3 linked regions of the Callithrix jacchus genome follow. The protein of the gene in region 1 purifies or fractionates together with the protein of each later gene. This does not show direct contact. Links are inferred from orthologs where the notes say so. Each region holds a gene or a part of one and is shown on either strand. Other genes may lie near its edges. The genes, in order: NPLOC4, ASPSCR1 and FAF2.

Evidence for each region.
Region 2: the proteins of NPLOC4 (region 1) and ASPSCR1 purify together in Homo sapiens (affinity purification with mass spectrometry; 3 studies listed by BioGRID and IntAct, with this or other methods). This does not show direct contact. The link is inferred for Callithrix jacchus from reciprocal best matches to the Homo sapiens genes NPLOC4 and ASPSCR1.
Region 3: the proteins of NPLOC4 (region 1) and FAF2 purify together in Homo sapiens (affinity purification with mass spectrometry; 3 studies listed by BioGRID and IntAct, with this or other methods). This does not show direct contact. The link is inferred for Callithrix jacchus from reciprocal best matches to the Homo sapiens genes NPLOC4 and FAF2.

The regions. Positions count from the first base shown.
Region 1 is NC_133506.1:137,290,007-137,294,319, reverse strand, and holds the start of NPLOC4 (nuclear protein localization protein 4 homolog), read left to right. Parts: upstream 1-1,381; 5' UTR 1,382-1,558; coding exon 1,559-1,573; intron 1,574-4,313. UniProt on the Homo sapiens protein: The ternary complex containing UFD1, VCP and NPLOC4 binds ubiquitinated proteins and is necessary for the export of misfolded proteins from the ER to the cytoplasm, where they are degraded by the proteasome.
Region 2 is NC_133506.1:137,613,726-137,617,369, forward strand, and holds part of ASPSCR1 (tether containing UBX domain for GLUT4), read left to right. Parts: intron 1-857; coding exon 858-997; intron 998-1,267; coding exon 1,268-1,349; intron 1,350-2,046; coding exon 2,047-2,113; intron 2,114-2,741; coding exon 2,742-2,804; intron 2,805-3,297; coding exon 3,298-3,367; intron 3,368-3,644. UniProt on the Homo sapiens protein: Tethering protein that sequesters GLUT4-containing vesicles in the cytoplasm in the absence of insulin. Modulates the amount of GLUT4 that is available at the cell surface. Enhances VCP methylation catalyzed by VCPKMT.
Region 3 is NC_133503.1:69,712,289-69,715,932, forward strand, and holds part of FAF2 (FAS-associated factor 2), read right to left. Parts: intron 1,526-3,644; coding exon 1,354-1,525; intron 101-1,353; coding exon 1-100. UniProt on the Homo sapiens protein: Plays an important role in endoplasmic reticulum-associated degradation (ERAD) that mediates ubiquitin-dependent degradation of misfolded endoplasmic reticulum proteins.

The sequences.
Region 1 (4,313 bases):
TCTTGGCTCACCGCAGCCTTGACCTCCTGATCTCAGGTGATTCTCTTACCTCACTACCTCAGCTTCCTGAGTAGCTGGGATTATAGGAATGAGCCACTTCACCAAGCTAATTTTTTTTTTCCTTTTTGAGATGGAGACAGTCTTGCTCTGTCACCCAGGCTGGAGAAGGGTGACCCCATCTCCGCTCACGGTGACCTCTGCTTCACAACTTCAAGTGATTCTCCGGCCTCAGACTCCTGAGAATCTGGGAATATAGGCATGCAAGACCACATCCGGGTAATTTTTTTTTTTTTTTTTTTTTTGAGGCGGGGTTTCACTCTTGTTTCCCAGGATGGAGTGCAATGGCGCGATCTCGGTTCACTGCAACCTCCGCCTCCTGGGTTCAGGCAATTCTCCTGCCTCAGCCTCCTGAGTAGCTGGGATTACAGGCAAGAGCCACCATGCCCAGCTAATTTTTTGTATCTTTAGTAGAGACGGGGTTTCACCATGTTGACCTGGATGGTCTCGATCTCTTGACCTCGTGATCCACCCGCCTCGGCCTCCCAAAGTGCTGGGATTACAGGCTTGAGCCACCGCGCCCGGCCTCAATTTTTGTATTTTTATTAGAGATAGGTTTCACCATGTTGGCCAAGCTGGTCTCGAATTCCTGACCTCAGATGATCCACCTGCCTCCGCCTCCCAAAGTGCTGAGATTACAGGCGTGAGCCACCGTGCCTGGCCTAATTTTGTTTCACCATGTTGGCCTGCTGGGTCTTGAACTTCTGGCCCCAGGAAATCTGTCCACTTCAGCTTCCCAAAGTGTTGGGATTACAGCCGTAAGCCACCGCGCCCGGTCTGAAATGTAGTTTTTTTATTCATTTGTTTTTCTCATGTTAAAATTTTTTTATTTTTTCTTTTTTTGTTAATCAATGAGAGCTTCTTATGTTGCTCAGGTTGGCCTTGAACTCATAGCCTCGCCTCCTCAAGCGCCAGGACAACTGGCCAGAGCCACCGCAGCTCCCGTCTCATGTTAAATTTAAAAAAAGACTTAAAAAAAATAACAAAGGTGTGGTCCTCTCCCTGAAATTGTTTCTCTCCTTAGCTGTGCATGGAGGGAAGTTTGGAATGCTATTTCCCCAATTATAATTCGCTGTAATACGCAGCAGTAGCTATTTTTGGGTGAGATTTCGGATGCTTGTCTTTGCCTCCTTTTTGGGCTTTTCTGTACAGCTTGCGTTTCCGAGGACGAGCATTTGTTGTCATCGACGGGGCATTTTTCCAAAATTCGCCTCCTCGCGGTGCCGGGAGGGGAGGCGGGTCCACGGCACCACCCTGCGCATGCGTCCAGTCGTTGCTGGGACCGGAACCTGGTTTCCCGGCCGCGCGCCTAGGGGAGAGTCTTGAGCGAGGCACCAGGACGTCGGCGGCTGGCGGAGCCGGGCGGGCGAAGCTGGAGCGGCGGTTGCGGCGGCGTAGGGAGGCCGGGGCCGGGTCTGAGGCCGCGGCCGGGTCTGCGAGGCCCTTGGGGCAGCAGGCGGCGGCGGCCCGGGACTCGAGCCCGGAGGCAGGAGTGGCCACCATGGCCGAGAGCATCGTGAGTGCGGCAGCCGGGCGGGAGCGGGGACGCCGGGATGAGGCAGCAGATTTGCCGGCCGCGGCCTGCTGGGGAGGCGGGCCTGCCGGCCCCGCGACCGGGTTCCTTTCCCCTTTCTCACCCGGGCTTTCTCAGCAGAGGCTGGGCCCCCCTCGGCGACTTTCACCCCCTCGGCTGCTTCCCGTCCTTGTCCCTTCCCGGCGGACTCGCGACCCCGGTTCCCCGCCCTGGGCAGGGAAAGGCCGAGGCTTTCTGCAGGGAGAATTGACTGTGCCGAAGAGAAACCGCCCTCCTTCCTCACCCGGTTCCCGGCTCCAGGAGACTTCCTGGTCCAGTTCCAGGGACTCCCAGCTAGTCCTGCCCCTCTCAGAGCCAGGGCCACTTCTTACCCCAATCTCCCTCCGATTCTCTTCTACCGCTCTCCCCCTTCCCAGCAAGTGCCTTGTCATGAATCACTGAGGAGAGCAACTGCAGACGGGGACGTTACAGAGCTCCCTCCCCGCCGGTGGAGCTGGGAAAATGAAAACGCAGTAACTTCCCGGCTTTGCTCCTTCTAGGAAGGAAAACTTGACAACTCCTCTTTAAAAGGAATGTCATAAATGAGGTTGATTTAACTTTTTACCTGAAACTGAGAATTGTCAGCCGAGCGCAGTGGCTCACGCCTGTAATCCCAGCACTTTGGGAGGTCGAGGCGGGTGGATCACGTGAGGTCAGGAGTTCGAGACCAGCCTGGCCAACGTGACGAAACTCCGTCTCTACTAAAAGTACAAAAAATTAGCCGGTCGTGGTGCCTGGCGCCTGTAATCCCAGCTCCTTGGGAGGCTGAGGCAGGAGAATCGCTTGAACCTGGGAAGTGGAGGTTGCAGTGAGCCGAGATCGTGCCATTGCACTCCAGCCTGGGCAACAGAGTGAGACTGCATCTCCAAAAAAAGGAAAAACGAATTGTCATCCCTACCAAGGTAAAAAATGTCAGTGAAAAATCAGGGAAAACCAGCCCCTCGTTAACTTGTGAGAAGCTGTTCCCCAAAAGTAAATGTGATGGGGAAAAATTAACTGACTCTTGGACAGAATTTTGGTTAATTTTTTTTTTTTTTTGAGACAGTTTTGCTTTTGTTGACCAGGCTGGAGTGCAGTGGCCCTGTCTCGGCTCACTGCAAACTCCACCTCCCGGGTTCAAGGGATTCTCCTGCCTCAGCCTTCTGAGTAGCCGGGATTACAGGTGCCTGCCACAACGCCCGGCTAATTTTTTTGTATTTATAGTAGAGACTGGGTTTTGCCATGTTGGTCAGGCTTGTCTTGGACTTCTGACCTCTGGTGATCTGCCTCTCTCAGCCTCCCAAAGTGCTGGAACTTACAGGCATGAGCCACTGAGCCCAGCCGAATTTTGATTAGTATTAAGAAAGGTTTGGGATTTCTGGGGGAAGCTGAGCAGTACTGGGTGAGGAGTAATGTTCATGCTGTAGTATTGTGACAGTCTCTGCAGTTTTACCAGGTGTCAAGAATCGGTCTTCAGGCCAGGCGTGATGGCTCACGCCTGTAATTCCAACACTTTGGGAGGCTGAGGTGGGTGGATCACAAGGTCAGGAGTTCGAGACCAGCCTGACTAACATGGTGAAACCCCGTCTCTACTAAGAATACAAAAAATTAGCTGGGTGTTGTGGTGCATTCCTGTAATCCTAGCCTCTTGGGAGGCTGAGGCAGGAGAATTGCTTGAACCTGGCAGGTGGAGGTTGCAGTGAACCGAGATTGCACCATTGCACTCCAGCCTGGGCCACTAAAGTGAACTCCGTCTCCAAAAAAAAAAAAGAAAAAAATGAGCTAAAGACAGATGATAATGCAAGAAATAGAAGCTCTGCAGTGCACTACCAGTCATTGCTGAGAGGAGAAGCTAGGACACCAGCACTTGCAGCATGCTCCTATCAGCCTCCTTCCCGTCTGCAGGTGGTTGGAGCAGGTCTTTGTTTGTTGCAGAGCATGCCATTTCATCCTCCCTATGTGAACAGGGACCTGTACTGTTGGCTAGGCATTATAGCTCACCTTCACAATGGCTTTCATCAGCATAAAAACGAAGTCGTCTTAGGAAGTAATGCTCTTTGTCCCATAGTATTCCAGATCTGCCCCCTTTTTAGGCTTACCATGGGAAAAAAAAATACTTAAAAAAAAAAAATATATATATATATATATATATATAAATAAAATACATACATATTAAATTAGGATGGAGTCAAGCGTGCTGTGTTGGCCAGGCTGATCTTGAATTCTGGGGCTAAAGGGATCCTTCTGCCTTGGCTTCCTGAAGTGCTGGGATTACAGGCATGAGCCACTGTGCCCAACCGAAAATATTTTTTTAAAACCCTGCTAAATTTTACCATTAATGACCATTGTTGTTTTTAACTTTAATCTCTCTCTCTTTTTTTTTTTTTTTTTGAGGCAGGGTCTTACTATGTCACCCATGCTGGAGTACAGTGGAACCATCTTAGCTCACTGTAAACTTGACCTCCCTGGTTCAAGTAATTCTCATGTCTCAATTCCCCAAGTAGCTGAGACCACAGGCGTGTGCCACCATGCCTGGCTAACTTCTGTATTTTTAGTAGAGATGAAGTTTCCTTATGTTACCCAGGCTGGTCTTGAACTTCTCAGCTCAAGTGATCCATCACCTTGTCCTCCCAAAGTATTACAATTACAGATGTGAGCCACTGTGCCTGACCATATTAAAATCTTTTTTACAGAAAGTAAATAA
Region 2 (3,644 bases), about 320 kb from region 1:
GGGCTGGACAGGACCGGGAGGGTGTTCCCAGGGCTGTGATGCCATCCCCAGGTGTCCAGAGCTCGAGGAGGTAGGTTCCCCTTCCAAGTCAGGTGGGAACCCAGAGCCCTCCCCAGGCCACACCCACTAGAGACGGCTCTCGGCTGTTCTGTGAAGGAGGATGGGGCAAGGGTGGACAACTCTCGCTGTTCTGTGAGGGAGGACGGGGTGAGTGTGGGCGACTCTCACTGTTTTGTGAGGGAGGACAGGCCCAGTGCGGAGATGTCCCACCTGCACCACCACTGGACTGAATGGGCTGAAATCACTGTCCAGGCCTCTAGCTGCGTGGCCCGGCTTTGTCCATTTCATGGCTGTTGATTGGGGTGACGCTGTCCCTTCCACATCCCAGGGTGGGCAGAGGGAGGGCCCAGCTTGTTCTCTGAGGGCAGGCGTGGATGGAGTCAGCCTGGCCATGGAGCTGTGGCCAGGAGGGCAGTGGGGGCAGCGGGGGCAGCTGGCCTGGGGTTTTTGCCGATGCTCTAATTAGGTGGCTGTGGCCACCCCCCCCTCCCCCCCGCCATGGAGACCCTGACTTGGCCTGAGCCAGACTCCAGGGGCCATGCGTCCTCAGGGATTAGGTCTCAGCGTCAGGGCTGCTGCACTGGCTTGAGGGGGAGGGCCTTCAGCCCTGAACAGGCCCTGAGTGGGTTGGGGGCCCCTAGCTGCTGTGCCTAGCCCTGGCCCTGTGCTGGTCAGGCCCAGGGAGGGAGTGGGCCCAGCTCCCACATCTGTGCGACTGCCTCAGCCGGGGACACCAACAGCCCAGGGCATGGAGGCCCTGCCCGTTATACCTGCCGTCAGCCTCCCTCTGCCTGCAGCCTGTGGACCGGGAGCCAGTGGTGTGCCACCCCGACCTGGAGGAGCGGCTGCAGGCCTGGTCGGCAGAGCTGCCTGACGAGTTCTTCGAGCTGACGGTGGACGATCTGAGAAGACGCTTGGCCCAGCTCAAGAGTGAGCGGTGGGTCCCCCTCGGCACTTCCCAGCTTCTTTGCCCCAGGGTTTGCCCTGTCGGGGGTCCATGCCTCCACTGTCCTCGGGCACCAGGTCCCTGACAGGCTGCCCTTAACAGCACCTCAGAGGGTTGGGGGGCAAAGGGGGTGTCCGCTCTTGGTGTCTCGTGGGGAGAGCAGCCTACTCCTGCCCTGGCAGGTGCAGGTGACAAGCCCAGGCCTGTTGCCGGTGCCCCATGCTGACCAGGAGCCCTGTTCCTTCCCCGCTCTTCCCACAGGAAGCGCCTGGAAGAAGCACCCTTGATGACTAAGGCCTTCAGGGAGGCGCAGATGAAGGAGAAGCTGGAGCGCTACCCAAAGGTCTGCAGACAGGGCTTTGGGGTACAACTGAGGCACAGTTCTGAGGGGGCTCCTGTGGCTCCCACATGGGACCAGGGCCCTCAGTGATGGCACGAGTGCCCGTGGTAGCCAGTTGATCTTCCCCTGCTTACGATTTAGAATAAAACTTTTTTATTTGTTTATTTTGAGATGGAGTCTCACTGTCACCCAGGCTGGAGCGCAGTGGCGAGATCTTGGCTCCTGCAACCTCTGCCTCCCAGGTTTAAGTGATTCTGCTGTCTCAGCCTCTCAAGTAGCTGGGACTACAGGTGCCCACACCTGGCTAATTTTTGTATTTTTAGTAGAGCTGGGATTTCACTGTGTTGATCAGGCTGGTCTTGAACTCCTGATCTCAGGTGATCTCCCCATCTTGGACTCCCAAAGTGCTGGGATTATAGGCATGAGCCACTGTGCCCGGCCAGATGAAACTTTAAACAGCAAATCTGAACACAGGTCAATGTGGTTTTAGGATTTGGGCCGATGTACGCACACGTGGCATTCCGCTGTCTCTGTGCCCAGCCTGCCGAGGGGGAGTCGAGGCTCGGGCCCTGATTTGGGGGGACTGCCGCTGCTTCTGCCTCCCCCAGCCCTGGTATCCGTGGGCCAAGTGGGGAAGCCATGCCCTGGTCCCTGGGTTGGCTTCGGCTGTTCTTCTAACCCCTCCACTTGTCTGGCCTAGGTGGCTCTGAGGGTCCTGTTCCCTGACCGCTACATCCTGCAGGGCTTCTTTCGCCCCAGCGAGACAGGTGGGCAGCACTTCGGGGTGTCCGGAAATGGGGTTGGGGGCCCATGGGGCCCCTCCTGGCTCCTTCCTTCCGTGCCACACACAGGATTGCTGCCGCCTGGCCTGTAGGCTCCAGGGCACCGGGTGGTGTGGGTTGCTGGGGTCCCCTTGGGGCTGCAGAGTGTCAGGCAGGTCCAGGTGCCTAGCCCCAGCTCAGGGAGCCTGTGGTCCTGAGTACTTACGTCCATCACCTACTAAACATGGGTGGGGCTGAGGGGCACCCAGAGGAAGGTACCATAACCCGGGAGGAGGGCAGAGGTGCTGTGACAGTCAGAGGTTCCTCACTGACCTGTACCCCAGACAGCTGGGTGGCAGCAGCCCAGGGTCACGGGACTCCCCCAGGGAAGCACTCAAGCTGGGGTGGTGGCTGGGGTGGGGCTGGCAGCACAGGCTGGCAGTGGGAGTGCCCTCCTGCAGCAGGGCAGGGTCCCAGGTGTGTCCCGCCAAGCACCTGGGGTGCCGTGGAAGGAACAGGGCTGAATTCCCACCCCAGGGGAAAGGCCCTGAGGGTCAGAGCAGTGGCCCAGGTGCTGGGGCAACCTGGGGCTGGCATCGTGGAAGAGCTCTGTGTGTTTCTTTCTCCTCTGCAGTAGGGGACTTGCGAGACTTCGTGAGGAGCCACTTGGGGCACCCTGAGCTGCCATTTTACCTGTGTAAGTTGTTTCTCCTGAGCCCGCTCTTGGCATCTGTGGCCTTGCGCCCAGCTGCCTCCTGCCAGCCATGGTGTCTGTGTGGGGACCTGGGAGGGGTGCAGCAGGGCCCTTCTTCCCAAGCCGGGCAGTGGGAACCAAGCTTCCCACGTTCTGTCCTGGTGCCCTGCTGCCCTCTGGAGCCCTCTTGCACCCCTGGGGCTCAGGCCACTCCTGCTCGAGAGCTATGGGAAGGACGGGTGGATGGGAAGTGGCTGGTCTCCTTTGGAGGACCTCTGGGTGTAAAGAGTTAGGCTGCCCACCCCGAGGGGAGCTGGGCTGCAGAGCTGTGTGGGTGGTGTCCCCTGGAGGTTGGCCTGCACTGCCCAGCGCCTCCAAGCCCCCCGCTGGGGTTTCTGCAGCAGGAGTAGTGTGGGCAAAGGGCGTGAGCCTGAGGGGGAGGCATCACCCCATCTTCAGGCCTGTTGGCCGGGACTCCATCCTTTCTGATACATAGGCACCTTCTGTCCTCAGTCATCACCCCTCCAAAAACAGTCCTGGACAACTACTCGTGCACCCTCTTTCAGGTACCTGAAGGCCCTCCTGGGGTGCTGTGGGGTGGGGCCTCCGGGGAGGAAAGGATGGGAGGGTGAGGCCTGCGGGTGCTGCGGGGCAGGGCCTCTGGGGAGGGCAGGACAGGAGGATGAGGCCCCGAGGTCAGGAAGGAGGGCCCTGGCAGCTGCTGCCCAGTGATAATAAGCCTTTGAGAGCCAGAGGGGGGTGCTCGCCGGCTTTCCAGCTCCTCTACTTCCTGCTAGCCCCAGCCTGCCTGAACTGAGGCTGCTTGGAGGTCTCAGCCCCCTG
Region 3 (3,644 bases), on another chromosome or scaffold:
CATTGGGTAATTTGAAGATGATCTTGACACTTTCAGGGTCATCAGGGGAAGGTTCAGGGGGTAGGCATTCCAACTTCCTTTCCTTTTCCTCTTGTAAATTCTGCACAGATACAAAGCAAAGGTTAGGGTATGGCTCAAGAAATAAATACAATGACCATGTAGCTTTCTTATGCAGTCAGAAGAAAAATTAGTGACTAAGTATTCTAAGAAAACCCTCTTGGGAACAGTCAAAAACAACATAAATTCAAAGTATTATTGCATCTCATGTATTATTTATTGACTATGTCTAGGTATTTAACCATTTGAGAAAAAAGGGAAAGGGAGCAGGGTGCCGTGGTGTGCGCCTATAGTTCCAGCTACTTGAGAGGCCACAGCAGAACTGCTTGAGCCCAGGAGTTTGAGGGTGTAGTGTGCTATAATTGCATTAGTGAATAGGCACTGCACTCCAGCCTGGACAACACGTAAGACCCATCTCTTAAAAGAAACAAAAAAACATAGTATCACATAATATCCTGAGCCAAATAAAAAAATAAAATAAAGAAGGACAAAAAAAAAAAAAACAAAAACAAATAGGCCTGGCCTTGTGGCTCATGTCTGTAATCACAGCACTTTGGGAGGTCAAGGCAGGTGAATCACCTGAGGTCAGGAGTTCGAGACCAGTCTGACTAACATGAAGAAACCCCATCTCTACTAAAAAATACAAAATTAGCTGAATGTGGTGGCGTATGCACAGCTACTTGGGAGGCTGAGACAGGAGAATCACCTGAACCTTGGAGGCAGAGGTTGCGGTGAGTCGAGACCATGCCATTGCACTCCAGCATGGGCAACAAGAGCAAAACTCTGTCTCAAAAAAAAAGAAAGAAAACGGAAATGGTTAAAAGACACTGGTTATAGGTAAGTGGTAATACATAATCAAACAAGATAATGTATGTCTCAGTCTGATTGCTAGGGAACAAAAACAACAAAACAAAAATAAAAAGACAATGAGTAAAACGCCAAATTAGCTAGTACTAGTATTAAGAATTATTTAGGGCCAGGCATGGTGGCTCACACCTGTAGTCCTAGCACTCTGGGAGGCTAAGACAGGCATATCATGTGAGGTCAGGAGTTCGAGAGCAGCCTGGCCAATATGGCAAAGCCTGTGTCTTTTTTTAAATTTTTATTAAAAAAAAGAATAAATATTAAATTGTAGGAAAAATTTAACCCATAATCCCAACATGTTCTAGTTTTTTCTTTTTTTTTTTCTCTTAGTCTGTTTAAGGTGGCTATAATGCTTTCCTTTCACATTTAAGACCAAGATGGCATAGTCTTGGCAGTTTGGAACCATAGGGAACAAAGCCACAGGTCCATTACCCGCCGCCGTCTCTCCTCTGCCAGCTTTTGCTGTTGCACCTCTTCCTCCTTCCGCCGCTTACGCTCCCGCTCCTCCCGTTTCTTTCTTTCTTTCTCCTGGTCGGCCCTGAGAGAGGCCAGGTAGGCCTCATCTTGCTGTTGTCTCAGCACCTGGGTCTGGTTTCTTTCTTCCCTGTGAACAGATTGAAAGCAAGAGAAGAAAAACAGCACTCTCACAAAGTTCTGTTTTCTTATATTGAAATTCTGTGTGTGTGTGTGTGTGTGTGTGTGTGTGTGTGTAAAAATGTTGATATTCTTAGCAGATGACTATTTCACACTGCCATAAGGGATTCAAAAAGCAGAGCATGGCAGAATCTGAATAAGCTACCTTTTTTCTCAGTTTAATTTGACAGAAAAGTAGACAGCAAGCTTTCCTCTCTGTTTTTAAAATAAAACTTTCCCCCTAATTCTAACAAACGTAACACAGTACTGTTATTATAAAGGGATCATCAGTATCATATTTTACATCAACCCCATTTTGGGTTACTGCATTTTTGTACTGCTCTCATAAAACCAAAACACACATATATATATCCATACAGATTGTAGCAGATCTGAAATATGTAGTTTTCAGAGTTATTCAGAGACTCAATAATCAAAGATGAAACACTAACATTTGGCATATCTATCTTCTCCCCAACAAATTTTTGTTTTCTCTTAGCCAAAATATTTAGCCAATCAAAATAGTTGAACAGATGAAACATTCTTGCTTTATACTTTCTTTAAAAATTAAGATAAAATTTACATGCAGTGAAATGCACAGATCTTAAATGTACAATTCAATGAATTTTGATAAATGTAACCACATAACCACCACTTCAAGACTAAACATTTCAGTTACCTCAGAAAGTTTCCTCTTTTACACATTTTTTTATTCAGTTAAAACAGCACTTTATTTATAGGGTTTTGATCTTGCATTTTTCCTTTTTTTTGGGGACAGGGTGTTGCTGTTGCCCAGGCTAGAGCGCAGTGATGCAATCATGACTCACTGCAGCCTCAACCTCCTAGGCTAAAGTAATCCTCCCACCTTAGCTTACAGGTGTGTGCCACCATACCTAGCTAATTTTTATATTTTTTGTAGAGATGGGGTTTCACCATGTTGCCCAAGATGACCTCAAACTCCTGAGTTCAAGCAGTCTTCCTACCTCAGCCTCCTGAAGTGCTGGGATTACAGGCTTGAGCCACCGCGCCCGGCCCCGAACCTTAATTTTAATTTAAGGAAACCATCACAAATTGCAAACAAATTATCTCCATGTATGCTATTTATAATAGCAACAAACTGAAAATAATCTAAAAATCCTGCAAGAGTGGCCTGGTTAAATTATGATGCATTTAGACAATAGAATGTTATACAGTAATTAAAAAAAAATATGGCAGAATAATATTTAATGATGAGGGAAAAGGCTGTGATATATTCTTATATGAAGGGTTGTAAAAAAGTGTTATCCCAATTTTACTAAAAAAAACCTGTATGTATATAGGGTGTGTGTTGTGTATAAAATTAAAAAGAAATATAACAATGTTAATGTGGTGGTAGGATTATCAGTGATTTTATATTTCTTCCTTGTGCTTTTTTGTGGTTTGAGGATTTCTTATGATTAATGTACATAAGTTATGTATTGGAGAGGAGTTATAATCATTCTACCTTTTTTTTTTTTTTTTTAACATTTAGGTGCTTTATATTATATTCAGCTATTCTAAATGCCATAATATACATTCTTGGGCATAGAGGCCTGTCTTTATTTTGTTTATTCATTCATTAATTATTATTTTTTAAAGACAGGAACCTTCACACCAGTCTGGAGTGAAGAGGCACAATCAGGGCTCATTGCTGCCTTGAACTCTTGGGCTCAAGCAATCCTCCTGCCTCAGGCTCCCAAGTAGCTGGGACTACAGGCATGTACCACCATGCCTGGCTAATTTATTTTTTGTAGAGATGGGGGTCTCACTTTGCTGCCCAGTATGGTCTTGAACTCCTGGGTTCACATAATCCTCCTGCCTCAGCCTCCTAACATGCTAGGATTTCAGGTGTTAGCCACTGTACCCAGCCCTTGTCTTTATTCTGAAAATCTCTAAGAACACATTTTCTGATATAGAGTAATTTAGGTCAAAGTATGTAAATATTTTGACAATAAATGGGCAAAGCTAAAAGCTAACAGTGGCCCAATGCAGAGAAGAAGCCAGGATCCGTAGAGTCCCAGGTCAGCCCTCCAAATTTACAACTGGTCTCTCTCTGTTCCAGATGGGAACTC